5 linked regions of the Sus scrofa genome follow. The protein of the gene in region 2 interacts with the protein of the main gene of each other region in a pairwise test. Links are inferred from orthologs where the notes say so. Each region holds a gene or a part of one and is shown on either strand. Other genes may lie near its edges. The genes, in order: FSD2, SH2 domain-containing protein 4A-like, SH3GL1, TACC1 and PPP1CB.

Region 1 (3,514 bases), on a different chromosome or scaffold from region 2:
CAGGTAATATTACATGCAAAAGAAATTATTTTGTGACTTGTCATTGCTCAGTAATCTATTGAGATTTCTTCTTTTCAATTAATTTATATAATTTGCTTATTAATAATTGCCTGAGACAAGCCCATTATTTGGCTTTTGGAGATTTTTAGGTTTTTTAAGTACATAGGAGTTGTTTGTTAGTGAAATCAATTTACAGATTTTTTTTTTCCGTAATTTCTCCTCTTTGACGCTTAGGAAGCCTGTCCACCCATAAAAAAAAAAACCTATTTATTTATTTATTTGTCTTTTTGCCTTTTCTAGGGCTGCTCCCTTGGCATATGGAAGTTCCCAGGCTAGGGGTCTAATCGTAGCTGTAGCTACTGGCCTCCACCACAGCCACAGCAACTCAGGATCTGAGCCACATCTGCGACCTACACCACAGCTCACGGCAACGCCGGATCCTTAACCCACTGAGCAAGGCCAGGGATCAAACCCACAACCCCACTGTTCCTAGCTGGATTCATTAACCACTGAGCCACGATGGGAACTCCTTTATTTATTTATTTATTTATTTAATTTTTGTCTTTTTTAGGGCCACACTCTCGGCATATGGAAGTTCCCAGGCTAGGGGTCGTTTCGGAGCTATAGCTGCTGGCCTACAACATAGCCACGGCAACTTGGAATCCAAGCTGCATCTGTGACCTACACTATAGCTCACAACGCCGGATCCATAACCCACTGTGCAAGGCCAGGGACTGAACCTGCGTCCTCATAGATCCTAGTCAGGTTCATTACCACTGAGCCACAACGGGAGCTTCAAAAACAAATCTTTCTTTATAGATCACTTAAAGTGAAACTACAACTAAGATGCTTGGATGATTTTTTTTTTCTAAAAAATTGTGGATGAGTTGAGCCCAATCTAATAACCATCTAGTGCACTGACCTCAGAAATGGGGTTTTCTGTTCTAGGACCCAGGATATCTATTAATAACTGTCCAAAAAGAAACCTTCCTGTGCAGAGGGGCTGCCCCGAGCATCCAGAGCCACGATGGAAGAGGAAGCAGGTGAGGCCCCGGGGCTGGGCAGGCCCGCTGCTCCTAAGGATTTCCACTTTTATCACGTGGATCTGTACGACTCTGAAGACAGACTGCAGATCTTCCCGGAAGGAAACGCTCGGATGCGAAGAGAGGTAGTCCAGGCTGAAATGACCAACGAACCAAGAGCAGCCGTGAAAGGGAAGGCTCCGAGAGACCTTGAAGAAGAAGTGGATGAACTTGTCCATCTTTACGGACTTGAAGATGATCATGAATTAGGCGATGCATTCGTTGACGAAAGCATGCCCAGAATAGAGGTTTCAGAGTATCCTCCTTATGGGATGACGGGGAGAGAAGCAGCCAGGGAGCAGAGAGACTGGAGACTTAGCGGGGAGGAGGCTAATGCAGAGGACCTGGGCTTGGGGGGCTGGGGCTCGGCGGACCAGTGCCAGGACTTGCGGGAAGCCTATAGGTATACCCATGGCCGTGCCAGTGAGGAGTATGAATGCTACGTCATCCCAGAGGAGGAAGACGAGGATGAAGCTGCGGATGTCTTCTGTGTCACCTGCAAAACACCAGTCAGAGCTTTGGAGGTTTCTGATGAACACAAGGAACATGAGGTAACCCCACTCCATAAAGCACTGGAAAGCGCCAAGGTAAATAGATCTCCTTAGTTCTTCTTGCTCTTGATATTGCATTTCTATCTCAAGGGTGTAGGGAGGATATGAATCTAAAATGCCTTCCACTGTAGTTCCCATTGTGGCTCAGGGGAAACGAATCCAACTAGAAACCATGAGGTTGCGGGTTCTATCCCTGGCCTTGCTCAGTGGGTTAAGGATCGGGCGTTGCCATGAGCTGTGGTGTAGGTCACATACATGGCTCAGATCCTTTGTTGCTGTGGCTGTGGCATATGCCAGCAGCTGTAGCTCCAATTCGACCACTAGGCTGGGAACCCTCATATGCTGTGGGTGCAGCCCTAAAAAGCAAAAAAATAAAAATAAAAATAAAATGCCTTCTACAAAAGAGAGAGAGAAAAGACAGAGCATTAATGCCTTCTTGGGATCCTTTGTTTAATAGGACGAAATTCACAAAAACATGTACAAACTGGAAAAGCAGATTATTGAGATGGAAAATTTTGCAAGTCACTTGGAGGAGGTTTTCATCACTGTGGAGGTAAGAGCACACCTGACGACGCTGTCAGACACACATGTCATTTCCATCGGGGGTGGGGTCAGCAGCTGTGTCTGGCACCAGTTAGAGAATCTGTTTTCTTGGAATGTATCGAGTCAGTACTGCCCCTCTCCCCTCACCCTTCTTTCTGCCCTCCCGTAGCATGGTGGGCGTATACCTATGGCAACATTCCCTAATGAACTGTCAGCTCTCCTGGGGAGGCTGAGTCTTCGATGTCTTTATATCCCCATTCCTGCTATAAGGTTGGACTCTTTCATGGCCAGCCTATTAAGGCATTGCAAGACACCCAGGCTGTTATGACTAAGTGTTCTTTTCCTTTCTTTACCTATTTCTTCCAAGATTAATAATGTTTCTGTGGAGTTCCCGTCATGGCGCAGTGGTTAACGAATCCGACTAGGAACCATGAGGTTGCAGGTTTGGTCCCTGCCCTTGCTCAGTGGGTTAAGGATCCAGCATTGCTGTAAACTGTGATGTAGGTTGCAGACGCGGCTTGGGTCCCGAGTTGCTGTGGCTCTGGCGTAGGCTGGCAGCTACAGCTCTGATTAGACTCCTAGCCTGGGAACTTCCATATGCCGCTGGAGTGGCCCAAGAAATAGCAAAAAGACAAAAAAAAAAAATAATAATAATAATGTTTCTGTGCTGGCACCAAACACATTCCCTGGGTGTGCCCAGGAAGTGTATACACTGCTGTGTGTGCACTGCCAGCACTCAACCTAGCCATCCAGATGGACAGACCAGGACTAAGGACCATAGGACTTCCTGTGTCCCCTCTCTTCACAGGGATGCTCTACTTCTATGAAGGCAGCCTTGGGGTGTATCAACCGGAGCACCTCACGGAGCCCTGGGCCCCTTTCCCCTGAAGCTAGACTTTCCTCCCCATCCCAACCTTCTAACTTTTTTTTGTCTTTTGTCTTTTTAGGGCCGCACCCATGGCATATGGAGGTTCCCAGGCTAGAGGTCGAATTGGAGATACAGCCCCTGGCCTATGCCACAGCCACAGCAATGCAGGATCTGAGCCGTGTCTGTTACCTGTGCCATACCTCATGGCAATGCTGGATCCTCAACCCATTGAGCAAGGCCAGGGATGGAACCCACGTCCTCATGGGTACTATTCGGGTTTGTTAACCACTGAGCCATAATGGGAACTCCCCACCCCCAATCTTAAAAGGGAGGAGAACTATTGCACTAATTCCCTATGGAAGGCAGAGGAAGGTCAAACCCTTCCATGTCTAAGCACAGGCGGATGGAGGTAGAAGGGTAAGTAGACAACTCCCTTGCTCAGTACTGCCAGCTCGCTCTCAGCTCAGAGC
Region 2 (4,068 bases):
GAGTCGGAAATGTTTCCACTGAGAGCATGGCCCAAAGGGCAGAAAATAATTCAGGGCCTCGTAATTACATAACAGAGCCCCTTGATGTTTTTTGGAGCAATTTTACCATGTGGAGCATTTGAACTGTAACACATCCTGCATACCTATTGTGTGTCTGGGTGTTGGGTAGGATTCAAACCTTCCTGGGGTAGATTAGTCCTTACTTGATGTTTATGATTTCAAAGAGGTATAAAACATAGAGCTGCTGTAGCAGGCAGTGCTGCAGGGAGGATGGCAATGCAGGCCCTGGCCATCTGTTCCCTGCAGGCCCCCAGTGTCACCACTGGCCTGGCTCCTGGCAAGTGTTCATTAAATGGTTCTCAGATGTGTTAAATGCTCACTTTACAGTTCTTCCACTGCCCATGCAAGAAGTGTTAGGCTTCCTTCAGAGCTGGCCACAGCAGCGAGCCAGGGCCAAATGACACTCCAGCCAGAAAGACCCTAAGGGGCCATTCATTTAATAAGCAGTGGAACCAAACTGAACCAGGAATTCTCCCCAGATAGGATCTCCAGAATAGCCTTTAAATAGCTAGGCAGGAGGACTGACCTCTACCCCAAGGCTCTAACTTCTGTAGTACGGGAAGCCTAGAAATGGGAAGGTTTCATTCTGAAGGAGCAAGTCAGGCAGGCTGCGTGGAAGAGGACCACATCGCAGTCTATAACCTCTCTCCCTGACACCTGCACCATGGGGTCACCAAAGCAGGCTGTTTGCCGCACACATTCTGAACGTTTCCTCTAGAAGGAACATGCCCCCCCAATGTTTCCACGCTGCTTCTACTGAACTTTCCTCCCAGATTTCCTTTTCCCTCCTCGGCCAGCTCCTCCTCCTTCAGCAACCACCCCAACCTGACTTGGCCGCTGCTCTCAGCATTCCTTTTCTTCTGCCCTTCTCTTTGGATTTCTTTCATTTTCTCTCCCCGTCCCCGCTGTCTCCAGTCTCCATCTTTCCAGCTGTTCTCCTCTTTGGTCCTGTCCTCCTACAAAGCCACACCCCTCCGGACAAGTGCCCAAGAGTTTGGTAATTTTCTCAAAGTCAACAACAACAACAACAACAACAACAAAAAGTGAGCTCCAGAGGCGCCAGAACAGAAGTTCAGCCCGCGGAGCGAAGAAAGGCCCGCCCGCCGCCGGCTCAGGCCCCACCTGCCAGGAAGCCTGGTGCCTGGCCGGGATCTCACCACCGTCCGCAGGACGCGCGCGGCGGGACCAGCCCCGGTGCCGCAGGTTCGAACGGACGGGCGGGCTGGGGACGCGCTTGGCTCATGTCGCGGCCGCGTGTCTGTGCAGCCGACTGCTCCTTCTCCTCCCTCGGCACCCGATCAGGCGGCCCAGCCCCGCGCAGGCAGGTGCGGGCCGGGAGGGGCCAGATGCGGCCAGTGAGTGCGGGCGAGCGGGCGGGCGGCGGGGGTGGATGTCCCCGTGGGTTCTGGTCCCGCTGGCGCGCGGCGCGTTCCTCCGCCGGGGGGTCAGGTGCTGGCGGGGCGGGCGGGCGAGTGTCCGGTGTCGGTGTCCGGTGTCGCTGCACCGGCGGGAGAGCAGAGGCGCTGAGGGCCGGCCGGCGGTCGTGGTGAGGGGTACGCGGGCGGCGGGGCGCGCGGGAAGCTCCTGCTGCAGGCGGCCGCGTCCCCCGAGGGGCGCGAGCGGGGCTGCCAGGGAGGAAGCGTGCAGAAGGCCGGCAGTGGCCCGTGGGGGTCGCGGGCGGAGGGAAAGGCCGGGTCTGAGGGCGCTTTCTGCCTTTGAGGGTGCGGGGTGGGGCCCAGGGTGGGCGCGCAGGGCCCAGGGTGGGCGCGCCGCCCCCCGGAAGGCGGACCAGACTGTGGCCGCAGGTGGCCTGGCCGTGACCTTTCCCTGCTCTCTCCCGCCCTCTGGTTCACGCGGGCTCCCCAGAGGTGGCATGAGGGGCAGCGAAGAGGGCAAAACTGTGCAGGTTTGCTCAGAATTGTCTTACCCTCCCAAGAGTCACTGGAAGAGCAAGTGAACTCCCCTCCTCTCTTTCTAAACTTGGAGTCTGCTCACCTCCTAAAAGGCTTTGTTTGATTGCCTGTTTAATAGAAATGACTTGGGATACAATCATTATTTTAAGTGAATAAGTGAGTGAAGGCCTATCCCAGGTACAGATTTGGCATGTGAGAGGAATTTCTGGAGAAATTCACGTACAGCGATTTTTAAATACCTGAAGAATGGTATGTATTTATCAAATTTACCAAACTGCTGTCACCCATGGTAATTTGTTTTATCCTCAAAAATAGCCCTTTTGCAGATAGATTAACAAGGTAAAGTTGAGTAAGAGCATGGAAAGTCTGGAAACAGGGCTTTTTAAAAAGAATTAGAATTCAAACTATGTTTTTAACATTAAAGTACACTGTCCATATTACAATATTTTTATGATTTAGGCGTATCTCTGGTAAAGTAAGATCTCAGAGTCATTCAAAATACAATTCTTGGAGTTCCTGTTGTGGCTCAGTGGTTAAGAACCTGACATAGTGTCCACAGGAGACGGGTTGGATCCCTGGCCTTGCTCAGTGGTTAAGTGAGGATCCTGCATTGCTGCTGCAGCAGCATGGATTGCAGATGCAGCTCTGATTAGACCCCTAGCCTGGCAACTTCCAAATGCCGCCGGTGCAGCTATAAAAAATACCAAAAAATATAATTACTGTTTATAAAACAGTGGCTCTGGGAAATATGGGTGCCATGACCCTTTGAATTTTTGGAAAAAAAATAGCAGATGTGGACTCTTTGCTTGTTGTCATTTCTGTGTTTTAAGAATAGTGCTGCTCAGGAGGAAAAGAGTTAGCTGAGTTTTCCTTTCTACTGGATCTTAAATAACTGGGTAGCACTCAATGAATTGGATACGGAAGTTACCTGTGTTTGATCGTATCAAGCACTGATTGTCAGGGAAACCAGGGGAAACCCCTGGTTGGTTAATTTCCTTGTTTCTGTTTCCGCTGACCCAGCCCCACTTGCGTCTGGAACTCCGCACTATAATGTAGTGTATTCCTAAGATGACAAAGATTCAAGTTCAGGCTCATTTCGTGGCAAGGAGACTGAGTCCGAGGAAGGGAAGTGACAACGCAAACATCCACAGCTCAGGAGAGGCAGAGCTGTGAGCCGAGAGCTTCCTGTGCTGTGTTTGAGGAAGGAGTTCCGTTCACGCTGGTGGGTGTTCACAGCCTCCGAGTGGCATGCATATTATTCAGCCTCACCCCACAGAAAGGTTGTAAACTATGTTCCCAAGTTTCCCCTGAGGACAGGGGGAGGCCAGTGTCTTTCCTTCAAGATCCACTTTAACGTCAAAAATCTATTTGTTGCAAAAGGCAAAACGGCACAAAATCGCAGCTGTGAGGTCTTGACTGTGTCCCTTCCTGCCATCCTTCTGCCCCCTGCCCCCAGTGCTGCTCTTGGGGGTGGTAGGAGGGGGACTGAGGAGGCTCAATACTCAGTGACTGACTGGGCATCAGTATCTGCGCCTGCGCCAACATGACGTCACTTCCCGCCATCTTTCCGGGGTGAGGGCTTTTCAATGCCCAGCGTCCCCAAAGCCCACCTGCAGTTACAGAGATGAGGCTTCTGCCTCCCAAGAAGGACCCTGCCTCATGTACCTTCGGTTCACCGTTTCCGCTGCCTCTAGAATTTGCTGGTTTTCATTCTGAAACTTCACCCGTGGGGCCTCATCCTGATGATGTTCTGATTCTGGGCTCACGGAGAAAACCTCCTGCAGTGACGTGGAGCCAAACCGCCCAGTGCCGCCCCTTTCCATCTTCTGTGAAATGGGCAGAGGGAGGGACTGAACACCAAGGTTATGGTGAAGGTTCATAAGTTACTGCATGTGCAGGGCTCAAGGTGGTGGCTGCCCAGCAGGAGTCAGCGCTTGTCACCAGTGCTGGAGGGAGGGGGCGCTGTGAAGGTGGCACGTGCCAAGTTGTAGTTTTTAGGCTCTCCCCACACCGTCGGTGTTGCTGTCACCCAATTCAAAATGGGGAACAGAGTAGAAGTTTCCAGCTTCCCTGAGCAGCTCCTTCTCCACGTGTT
Region 3 (3,514 bases), on a different chromosome or scaffold from region 2:
GGTGCCAGAGTGAGGGCGGCCCTGCACATAGATGCCTGTGGAGCTGTCAGGGCTCCCAGGGGAGGCAGAAAGGTGACACTCCTGGGGGGCTGGAAGAGGCTATGGGGTCTGCCTGTGCCCTTGCCCCTCAGGGGACATGGTGCCTGCCAGCAGGGGCTGCTCCCTGGGAGCACCTGTGCTCCCTGCACTGAGCAGGCCCTCGGCCCGGAAGGTGTGGTTTTTGAGCCCTGGCGCCTCGGCTGCCCTTTGAGTTCACCAGAAGAGTCTAGTCTCACGTCAGGCAGCTAACTCATTTCCCTCTGTGGCAACCACCGAAGCTGAGAACGTCCTGTTTTACCATAATCAAAAGAAGTGAAACCATGCCATGAAATAAAGTGGAACGCCCTAAAAACACCTAGGAGAGACCAGTGTCTTTCCTTATAAAGTCAGAACCAGGAGGGCAGCCCCTGCCTACCTTGGAGGTCCCTCAAAGGCTGGGGCATGACTGAGTGGGCCCTGAGCCAGCCCTGCTTCCTTCCTGTGCCCCCACCGCAGGGTCTCATCTCTCATCTGTGCCCCCCACCCCATCCCCTCCTAGGCTCCTGACACGTAGCCATTGTGAGAACACTTGACTCACAGGGACATGCAGGTTCGGGGTGACAAAGACCTGTAGGCCAGGCCTGCCCTGCAGTTCTGTGCTCCACTTGGAGGACCAAGATGCCCAGGGAGAATAACAGCAGTCATGGGTGTGGGCAGGGGGAGTACCCTGAGCACACATGCGCATGCAGCGCCCACGAAGCCTGGCCACAGCCCTACGAGTGCACACCTGTCACTCCACTTTATAGAAGCAAAAACTGAGGCCCAGCGAGGCTGATTGCCCAAGACCACACAGATAGAAGGCAGTGGACCAGTTGTTGAACGATAGTGGTCCGACACTCCTGTCAGCTGGTGGGCCCCTTGGTGCCCTTAGCCCCGGGAGCTGTCCTCACAGGTGGCTGCCAGGAAGTTTCATGTGCATGGGTTCACACACATGCTCACACACATGCATGAAAAGTCACTTCCAGGCACCACAGTAGTTGGCTTCTGTCGGGCAGGTCTTTCCCTCTTGCTCAGCGCTTGTCCCACACGCAGTCTGCATGTTTGTTCAGCCTCGGAACCTGCTTGCCTCTCGGGGCGCCCCTGGGGAATGCAGACCCACAGTCCGAGATTCCTTCCCAGAGAGGCAGGACTTCAGGGTCACGGTTCCCTGAATGAAAGGGCTTCTGTGAGCATGGGTGCCTCAGCCCTGTGAGAGGACATCACTGGGCCATGGTTGGGCCCAGGCAGGTCTGCACAACCCAGAGACTGGGGAACATTGTGGAGCCGCCATTGCGGCATAACAAGGTAGCTCGGCCAGGGACGGCTTCCAGCAGGAAGAGCCCCCTGCCCTGGGTTTCCAGGAGCATGCAGATTTGGGGGGGGTGGGTATCGTTCAGCCCCTCATTTTGCCATTGGCTGCCACATTCAGTCTCCCTGGGAAGCCATGGTAGATGTCCTGAGCCCCTGCCCTGCTTCCCTTCAGTGGACAGGGCAGGAAGGCATCCTGGAGTCTCCTCCCCTGAGGCTCACACACTTTTCCTCCTTTGTCCCCCAGCTGGTCAGCGAGAAGGTCGGAGGGGCTGAAGGGACCAAGCTTGACGATGACTTCAAGGAGATGGAGAAGGTAATGGGAGAGGTGGTGCCCGTCTCATGCCTGGCAGTGTTACCAACCCCCATAGGGCCTGCCCCTGACAGCTGGCGGGAGGCCAGGCTCACCAGGAGGGTCTAGGCGGGTCACAGGGCTCCCCTAGTCCTGGGCAGGCAGTGGTGAGGGCATAGCATGGCCAACAACACGGAGGCCAGGGAGCCCCCAGAAGCAGCGGGCAGTTCTTGTGTGGGCTCTAAGCAGGGCAAGAGCTGTCCAGGGGCTCCTGGTTTGGCCTCGGGTGCCCCGGCAGTTTCAAAACCCCACACATGGCCTCTCTCTACAGAAGGTGGATGTTACCAGCAAGGCTGTGACAGAAGTGTTGGCCAGAACCATCGAGTACCTGCAGCCCAACCCAGGTAGGGGCCAGCCTGCTGTGAGGGGTCTGACCCCAACTCTTTGAGCTCTCTGTCGGGAATCTTCCAGTCACCAGAACATGAAGAAGGAATGTATGGGCCCACAGAATTGAGATGCCCAGGGATAGGCAGGTTCAGGCATGGCTGGATCCAGGCATCCAAAGGATGTCCTCAGGGCCCTGCCTTTCCCTTCTGTGTCATCTGTCAGCTCTCATTTCTCACAACAGTCCTAGCCTTAAACTGTCCTTACAGCTAATGGTCCCAGTAGAAAGAGTATCTTTTTACCCCCACCTAACCCAATTTGAATCAAGTATCAGGCCCCAGCCACATGCCTACCTTTGGAGCATGAGGTGGGGCCTTCTCCCCAAGGAAAATCCAAATTCTGGTTTGCAGTGAAAGGTGACAGATGCAGGACAGCAGCAAAGGCAGCAGTGTCCCCTGAGGCCTGTGCCGGGACAGACTGGAGCTAGCAGAGGCTCAGGCACAGCACACACACCCCTACCCCCCTCTGGGCAGAGACCTGTGCTGGGGCCACCTGTACCTGTCTGCACCTACACCTACCTGCCCTGCTTCTCTGGGGGCCTCAAGGAGCCAGTCACCTCTCCTGACCACTGCCAGTGCTCCTTTGTGCACGTGAGAGCAGAGGAGGGGAAGTCTGTTCAGGGGTTCTTCTCATATTCCTGTTCCTCAGCCCAAGGGAGTGCTTTAGAAATAAATACCCAGGCAGAGGTGGGTAGCTGGTGGTACTGGCAAGCACAGGCCTGGTGGCTCAAGAGACCACCTGCACACCCACCCGGTCCGTCCTCTTCCAGCCTCTCGGGCCAAGCTGACGATGCTCAACACGGTGTCCAAGATCCGTGGGCAGGTGAAGAACCCCGGCTACCCGCAGTCAGAAGGCCTGCTGGGCGAGTGCATGATCCGCCACGGGAAGGAGCTGGGTGGCGAGTCCAACTTCGGTGAGGCCGAGGGAAGGCTGGAGTGGGGAGGGCCTGAGAACATGGGGCAACAGCATCTCTGCGCAGCGGGCAGGCTGGCCCTTCCCCCATAGCTCCAAGGTCTTCTCCAGGGCTGGCTAGTCCTCTGGACGAGGGCGGTGAAGCTCCTGAGAAAGCCCCTCTGGTCCACAACAGGTGCTGCCTACAGTATCATGGCTGTGGGGAGGCCACCCTCCCACCACAGCTGGGTCAGGGCAGACCTGGGTGCCTTTGAAGAGGTGGGAAGGTAGCTTGTGAACACCCATCATCACCAGCCCCTGTGGCTCTGTGTCAGATTTCAGGGTCCCTTGTTCTCAATTCTGGCGTCCAGGTCCTTGGCATGGGGTATCTCAACCCTAGGGGCCAAGGCCTCCTGTGACAGCTTCCTCCCCCAGGTGATGCCCTGCTGGACGCCGGGGAGTCCATGAAGCGCCTGGCTGAGGTGAAGGACTCCCTGGACATAGAGGTCAAGCAGAACTTCA
Region 4 (4,183 bases), on a different chromosome or scaffold from region 2:
TATTCACCTTCCTTTAATAAATAGAACAGAGATGTTCTAATTCCCTGTTTGTGGACAAATTTTCCAGTTAGAACTGTGAAAACCACTGAGTTTTATTGCAGGGGTCCATGAGGATCCCAAGTTTCATTGCATTTGATAGTTCACAGACAAGCCACTTACCAGGCCATCAGCAACAACTGAATCAGGATCCCCTTGCACCTCCTGTACCTCCAACTCAGCATCTCCAAGAATCACAATGAGGAATCTTCCTGCTTCATTTCTGGGGGCTGAGGAGGCAGTTTGTAGTGGGAACTGGATCCCATTTGTGATAGCCAATTCCTGCGCTTCCATCATGGAAAGACCTAGAACTGGAGAGGGCCAGGAAAATCATCAATTCCCCTCCCTGCCATGCAGCACATGCCCTACACTGTGGGTAGAGGTGTGCACGTGGGGAAGGCTGGCCCCAGGCAGGACTCTATGAACCCACAGGACATTTTCACTGCCATCTTTATCAATTATTATTATTTTTGTCTTTTTTTGCCCCCTCCCACAACAATGGAAGTTTCCAGGCCAGGGATCAAACCTGTGCCACAACAGTGGCAACGCCAGATCCTTAACCTGCTGAGCCACCAGGGAACTCTGTTATTATTTTCCAATTAGAAGAGGGAGAAGAAAAACAAACAAACAAACCAGTCAAGGAGTTCCTGCTGTGGCACAACAGGGTGGATGGTGTCTCTGCAGTGCCAGGACATGGGTTCATCCCCAGCCAGTCACAGTGGATTAAAGGATCCAGCATTGCCACAGCTATGATGTGGGTCACAACTGCGGCTGGCATCTGAGCCCTGGCCCAGGAACTCCATATGCCAAAAAAAGAAAAAAACAAACAAGACAAACAGCCAAGAGGGATGTGGGTGTGTATATTTCTTGGAATCCAGAGGTTGGGGGTGGGGGTGGGGAGTGATCCATCAAAAATGTTTCTAGTACAAAAGCTGGCAAAACAAATCTCTCTCTCTCTCTCTTTTTTTTTTTTTTTTTTTTTAATCTGAACTGTGTAACAGGAGAAATTCTCTCACAAGGGGAGAGTATTCCTGAGCCAAGTTTAGGCCGAGGAAAAATTTTCCAGCTTGTGAGGAACGAAGCTGACGTTACATTAAGGAGGAAAAAAAATAGTGCTGGAGGAAAAGAGGAAGGGGGGAAAAGGCACCAGGCTTCAAACAGAGGAGCTTTAAATTCCAGATGGGACCACAGATCAGAGAGCTAGGAGGCTGCAGCGATTTCTCCGTGGGGCTCCCAGACCCAGTGGACATTTCCTGTTCTGCCCCTGAACGTTCAAGCCAAAACTTTACAAAACATCCTTTTCCCTAGAACCAAGTGTTTGGTTCGGAGACCCACCCCTCCCCACGTCGGTGATCTCAGAGCCTGCCCTCCCCTTCCTTTCTCGGAACCGCTCCCTGATCAGGGGCGTCAGCTTCCCAGCAGAGGTGATGGAGCCACTGTAGCAGGTGGTGCCAATGGGAGAGAGGAGACCCGGGGACCACCGCCTACGAGGTAGGAACGGGGGCTGCGTGTGCTTGGGTTGTCTGACACTTACGGAGCAAAGCAGAGCCCTTGACCTTTAAGCTCGGGCTGGGGGCGTTTTCTTGACGATGGGACAGTGCTGTGGGTGAGTGGACGCCAGGGACGTCAGGCATTTCTTTCCTCTCTTTCTTTCCAATTTTAACTTTAATTCTTGGGTCTCTGGAAGCACTACCTCTTGTTTGCCTTCTGATGTAGAAGTGTTAGGGTAGAATTCTGGGAATTCCCTGACTTCTTTGTTTCTTTTTCTTTTTCCTTTTCTTTTGGTGGGCAAGGAGTCAAGGAGCATTTGTAAATACCTTCAGCTCTGAGTAGATTCAGAGAGAAGTGATCCAAATGGATGCAGAAGGAAAAGGCATTTTCACCTTGGTGAGCTGTGGTCCAGCTGTTTCCCAGGACCTGTGTCCTGCCCACCAAACTCCCTCCTCCTCCCCGCATCATGGGAATACACACCTTGAGCTGTTTCTCAGGTGTGGGGATGTGAGACTGGAGCTCAATGCTACGCCTTTATGGGCAGAGCCCAGGTGCCCTTGGAGACATCCACGTCTGTGGCGGAGCTAACTGGTCAACCCTGAAGGCTGCATGTGGCCCTCGCCATCATTAGGGACATGCCCCAGCAGTTCGTCCCTGAGAGGCTAGCCTTGGCAGCACCTGCTGACACTGAACTGATACAGAGAATGCAGCATGGCTTCTGCACAAGTACTCAGATTTTTATCATAAACGAACCATTTCAAATGCCCCTTCTCTGAACTCCAATGGTCCTTCTCTAGAGCACACATTTTGCTCCTTATGCACCTATCACCTTGCTGTACTGTTCTCTAACAAGCTAAACAAATGAGAGAATGGATGGGATGCATGAGTCGTAATCTATTTCTTGGTGATCTTAAGATAGCAACTAACTCTTGTTGAGCACAGACTGTGTGCCGGCACCATTCTAAAGGTGGTGGGTATTATCATCATCATCCCCATTTTACAGATGGGGAAACTGAGGCTGGAGACACACCTAATAAATGCAGAGGAGGGATCTGTACTGAGGCCAGGCTGCCCTGCTCCAAACCAAGGTGGGGGTTTGACTCTCGGTCCCCATATTCTCCAGCTGCGTGACTTCAGACAAGGTGAATGTCCTCAGCCCGTTTCCTCATCTGTCAAATGAGACAATAATAACCCCAGCTCACAGACGTGTTGTAAGAGATAAATGAATTTTAAAAGATTATTTTACTGAAGCAGGCGAACAATGTTGACAGATCTTCCCAACCCTGGCAGTGTGAAGTACAAATGTAGAGCTGAAAACCCTCAGGGTTCTGTAGGAGGTAGCCATAGTGCCATGTCAGGGTTTGTGCCTTAACAAGGGACATTAGCATTCATATACCAGCAGGTGCAGGCCTGTAGCTGCCAGCTCGGTTGACTCTAAGCTCCTTCAGGGCTGGGTTCCTCTCATATACAGATCTGCAATCATGGATTTGACCAACTTTGGACCAAGAAAATAAAGTAAAATAAAATTCCAAAATTTCCAAAAAGCAAAACTTGAATTTGCCCTGCAATTATTGACATAGCATTTACATTTGTATTTACAACTATTCACATGTATTAGCTTTTATAAGTCATCGAGAGATGATTTAAAGTATAAGAGAGGATGTGTGTTGGTTCTGGGCGAATACTATGTCATTTTATATAAGGGACTTGAATGTAGGTAGGTTTTGGTGTCAGTGGGCCTCCTGGAACAAATCCCCCATGCCCAGGGAAACTCAGGGACCACTTTGTTTCTCTTAAAAACGAGATGTTTCTCAGAGTTCCCTAGTGGCTGAGTTGGTTAAGGATCTGGTATTGTCACTGCTGTGGCTCTGGTTACTGCCATAGCATGGGTTCGATCCCTGGCCCTGGAACTTCTGCATGCCAAGGCTGCAGCCAAAAAAGGAAAAAAAAAAAGAAAAAAAGAAAAATGTTTCTTGAACTGTGCTCTAAGGCCCTCCTTGCTCTTCAGATGTAGGATCCCCCTTGGGGAGGAGGTCAACAAGGGGCCCCGTGGATGCTCCCGCAGCCTCCTCTTCCCGCTCGCAACAAGGCATCTCCATCTTTACCTGACTGACTTATTGGGGTGCCCCGTTAAAAGGAAGATTTGAAAACCACGTTCAGAATGACTAATGGGGAGCAGGTGATGTGTCCAGGCTGAAAACAACTGTTTACAGAGCAGGGTTGATTTTTCTAGCTCAGCCCTGTCTAGGCTCTTCCTTGGCCCTCCCTTAGCCTCCTACTTAATGAGCTTCTCCTGCCCTGGAGAACCCACAGGAGGCATGTGCCAGGCGGGCTCAGGAGGTGAGCTCTTCCATCTCAGGCAGCCCATCCCTGGGGACAGGGACAGACAAGTGGCAGGGCCCCAGAGAGCTTCTGTTCCAACCTGGACTCTCTCTCCCTCTTTTTTAAATTTTTTTTTTTTTTTGGTCTTTTTGCTATTTCTTGGGCCGCCCCCGCGGCATATGGAGGTTCCAGGCTAGGGTCCAATCGGAGCTGTAGCCACCAGCCTACGCCAGAGCCACAGCAACTCGGGATCCGAGCCGCGTCTGCAACCTACACCACAGCTCACGGCAACGCCGGATCGTTAACCCACTGAGCAAGGGCAGGGACCGAACCC
Region 5 (3,514 bases), on a different chromosome or scaffold from region 2:
CATTGCACTTGTAACTTAAAGCATTTCCTACTTCTAGATAATTAACCTTTCAGGAGATCCTAATATTCTAATCCTTTCCTTTTGTGTTTACTATTCCTTCTCAATATTTTTTGCCCATTCCTTCTCTGCTTGCTTATGAAGTGTTTGATTCCTCAGAGTTCTTTTCCTGGTCTTCTCAGTTTACATTCCCAAGATGGTCTCAGTCCCTTCTAAGATTTACATTCCTATTAGTTTGATAAAGATCTTTAGATAAATATTTTTTTAGCTCTGACCTTTTTTTAATCCAAAAACATTACTAAAGTCAGGGATCTACTCTGATTTTGTTCCTCTGTACTTTATTTAAATCCTCCAGGCCTTTGTAGAAAATGTTTTCTTCCCTCAAAATGATCTATAAATCAGATGTAGTTCCAGTGAAATTTAAATTGGATTTACAGAATTAGACAAACTGATTCGCAAGTTTATATGTGGAAGAACAAAGGATTAAAAGTAACCAAGACAATCCTGAAGAAAAATATTAAGTGGGGATAAACCCACCACACATAAAGATTTATTTAAAAGGTCTAGTGTGTTACTGGCTCAGTGATAAAGTAGATTAATGGAATAGACTATGGCACCAGAAACAGTATAAGTAGCTCTCTAAGGAAAGGATGAACTATTAAGGGAAATATTGCTGGGTCACTTGGTTATCCATAGGGAAAAACTAGAGACAAGATGAACAGCCTTTTCAAACATCATATGCTTAGAGTGTGCCATACACATATTTCTTTTCTTTTTTTTTTTTTCTTTTTTTTGTCTTTTTTTGTCTTTTTGCCATTTCTTGGGCCACTCCCGTGGCATATGGAGGTTCCCAGGCTAGGGGTCTAATTGGAGCTGTAGCTGCCAGCCTATGCCAGAGCCACAGCAACACAGGATCTGAGCCGTGTCTGCAACCTACACCACAGCTCACGGCAGCACCAGATCGTTAACCCACTAAGCAAGGGCAGGGATCACACCCACAACCTCATGGTTCCTAGTTGGATTCGTTAACCACTGTGCCACGACGGGAACTCCAAGTGTGCCATACACATATTTCTTATATCTGGAAAGCTTTGGAGAGTACTGCCTTTAAAGCCAGGCAACATTGTATTTGCATGGTTACTTTAACAAAAAACTGGCTGAGTTGGATAGGCCGGGATACTATCCCAGGGGGCAAATGATTATTACTGTTTATTACAGAAGAAATGGGATATAGATATGCTTTATTTTACAAATATTGTTTTTTCATTGCTGTGCTTTGATTCTTTAAAGGTTTGCTCTGTGATTTGCTGTGGTCTGACCCAGATAAGGATGTGCAAGGTTGGGGAGAAAATGACCGTGGTGTTTCCTTCACTTTTGGAGCTGATGTAGTCAGTAAATTTCTGAATCGTCATGATTTAGACTTAATTTGTCGAGCTCATCAGGTATGAAATACAAAAACTTTTGGGTATTTTGATATTTTCAACTTCACCTAGGTCTACTCCTTTTATTTTTGAGGAAATTTGAGATCTAAGAAAGCTAATTACACAAGGAAAGCAGTAGAAGAGATTATACCTTGATCTCACAAGTAACAATGTAATGATTTTATTAACCCTTTCCACCCTCTAAGAGGAAAGGTTTCAACAGTAGTAGATTACAACACTAACATTTTTCAGTGCTTGTCTGAAGCTTTCTAGAACTATTTGATCCCATTTTAATATGATAGTTAGATATAATAGATAACAATCAAATGAATTATGTGGATTTTGGTAAGAACAAACCACACTATAGAGAGACATTTTGAGATAATTAGGAAATTTTTCAATTATAGACTGAGTATTAGATATTGGGGAGTCATTGCTAGTTATTTTAACTGTGATGATAGCATATTGCTATGTAAAAAGGATGTCCCATATTTTTCAGAGTTGCATGCTCAAGTATGTAGGGGTGAGAGGATGTGTCTAGGATTTGTTTTAAAATATATCAGAGTTTCTGTTGTATCAGCAAATCATCTATTTGTATCAGCGGAAACAAATCCAACTAGTTTCTCTGAGGACTCAGGTTCAATCCCTAGCCTCACTAGTTGGTTAAGGATATCCAGTGTTGCTGTGAGCTGTGGTCTAGGTCGTGGATGCAACTTGGATCTGGTATTGCTGTGACTATGGTGTAGGCTGGCAGCTGCAGCTCTGAGTCAACCCCTAGTCTGAGAACTTCCATATGCTGCAGGTGCAGCCCTAAAAAGCAAAATAAAAATATATCAGCAAAGCAAAGGGGTAAATGAAATAAATGTAACAAAGTCTTCGTAATTATTGAATCAGGGTGATGAGTAATTGAGAGTTTATTGAACTCCTCCTTATCTACTTTTGTGTTTATTTGAATTTTCATTTTAAAAAATACATGTACGGGAGTTCCCTGGTGGCTCAGCAGCTTAAGGATACGGCATTGTCACTGTGGTGACGGTTTGATCCCTGGCGTGGGAAGTTCTGCATACCTCGGATACAGACAGAGAACAAAAACAGGATATATGTACAACTTAGGATTTGGTTTGGTTTCAATGTCCTCCTTCATCACTAGATTGTACACTCTTCAAGGAGGTGAACAGTTTAATATATCAAACTCTCACAGTCCTAAACCATAGCTGGTATGAAATACATTGAAAAGTATTTTTTTCAAATCTTTTGAAGTTACTTTTTAAAGTATTTTACATTTGTAAGTATAATATTTAAAGTTTCTTTGTTAAAGCAAAATATATTAACAACAAATATATGCTGTTCTACAGTACTCCCCTTTTTAAGGGGCTTTGCTCCCCCGTAACCCTGGATTGATTACTTCTGCCTCTTTATGTGCTCCTATGTGATAACGAAGATGACAGGCTTTTGTTGTTTTTGCTTTTGGTTTTAGGGCTGCAGTCATGGCATAGGAAAGTTCCCAGGCTAGGGCTAGAATAGGCCACAGCCACAGCAACACCACATTCAAGCCACGTCTGCAACCTATACCACAGCTCATGGCAGCTCTGGATTCTTAACCCACTGAGTGGGGCCAGGGATCAAACTCGCATCCTCATGGATGCTAGTCAGATTCGTTGCTGCTGAGCCACAATGGGAACTCCATAACAGACTTCTTATTTTCTGCATATGTTTTATGCTTTTTTCCTATTAGAATTTCATACTTTAATTGAAATGAAGTCATGTCCCTATATCCTTTGCTTTTGGCAAAATTGTCTTTTAATCAATGAACAATGTGTTTATAATTTAGACAATTAAGATGTCTTCCATAAGATAACAGGGCAGAGTTGCTGAGTTTCTTTAAAAAAATACTGATAGTCACTTTTTCAGCTATAGATCTCCATTCAGTTGTCTTTTCAAAAATTGGTGATGATTTTTAAAAGTCAGGTTATTGAACTACCCTTAATTTGCATGGTCTTTTTCTGTTCTGCTTGTTTTCAAACAAATTATCCCTAAAATTAAGAGACTTATGATGGGAAATAATGCAAACTACAAATATTTACTTTTTAAAAACC

The links.
Region 1: the proteins of SH2 domain-containing protein 4A-like (region 2) and FSD2 interact in binary tests that used the Homo sapiens proteins (3 or more experiments, as listed by UniProt). The two-hybrid records come from large-scale screens. The link is inferred for Sus scrofa from reciprocal best matches to the Homo sapiens genes SH2D4A and FSD2.
Region 3: the proteins of SH2 domain-containing protein 4A-like (region 2) and SH3GL1 interact in binary tests that used the Homo sapiens proteins (3 or more experiments, as listed by UniProt). The two-hybrid records come from large-scale screens. The link is inferred for Sus scrofa from reciprocal best matches to the Homo sapiens genes SH2D4A and SH3GL1.
Region 4: the proteins of SH2 domain-containing protein 4A-like (region 2) and TACC1 interact in binary tests that used the Homo sapiens proteins (3 or more experiments, as listed by UniProt). The two-hybrid records come from large-scale screens. The link is inferred for Sus scrofa from reciprocal best matches to the Homo sapiens genes SH2D4A and TACC1.
Region 5: the proteins of SH2 domain-containing protein 4A-like (region 2) and PPP1CB interact in binary tests that used the Homo sapiens proteins (3 or more experiments, as listed by UniProt). The two-hybrid records come from large-scale screens. The link is inferred for Sus scrofa from reciprocal best matches to the Homo sapiens genes SH2D4A and PPP1CB.

What each region holds. Positions count from the first base shown.
Region 1 is NC_010449.5:52,164,969-52,168,482, forward strand, and holds part of FSD2 (fibronectin type III and SPRY domain-containing protein 2), read left to right. Parts: intron 1-948; 5' UTR 949-1,027; coding exon 1,028-1,669; intron 1,670-2,090; coding exon 2,091-2,186; intron 2,187-3,514.
Region 2 is NW_018084867.1:67,344-71,411, reverse strand, and holds the start of SH2 domain-containing protein 4A-like, read left to right. Parts: upstream 1-1,262; 5' UTR 1,263-1,385; intron 1,386-1,558; exon of another isoform or gene 1,559-1,613; intron 1,614-4,068. UniProt on the Homo sapiens protein: Inhibits estrogen-induced cell proliferation by competing with PLCG for binding to ESR1, blocking the effect of estrogen on PLCG and repressing estrogen-induced proliferation. May play a role in T-cell development and function.
Region 3 is NC_010444.4:74,438,448-74,441,961, forward strand, and holds part of SH3GL1 (endophilin-A2), read left to right. Parts: intron 1-1,612; coding exon 1,613-1,681; intron 1,682-1,988; coding exon 1,989-2,061; intron 2,062-2,870; coding exon 2,871-3,014; intron 3,015-3,427; coding exon 3,428-3,514. UniProt on the Homo sapiens protein: Implicated in endocytosis. May recruit other proteins to membranes with high curvature.
Region 4 is NC_010457.5:47,858,295-47,862,477, reverse strand, and holds the start of TACC1 (transforming acidic coiled-coil-containing protein 1), read left to right. Parts: upstream 1-1,373; 5' UTR 1,374-1,490; coding exon 1,491-1,527; intron 1,528-4,183. UniProt on the Homo sapiens protein: Involved in transcription regulation induced by nuclear receptors, including in T3 thyroid hormone and all-trans retinoic acid pathways. Might promote the nuclear localization of the receptors.
Region 5 is NC_010445.4:110,443,380-110,446,893, reverse strand, and holds part of PPP1CB (serine/threonine-protein phosphatase PP1-beta catalytic subunit), read left to right. Parts: intron 1-1,287; coding exon 1,288-1,439; intron 1,440-3,514. UniProt on the Homo sapiens protein: Protein phosphatase that associates with over 200 regulatory proteins to form highly specific holoenzymes which dephosphorylate hundreds of biological targets.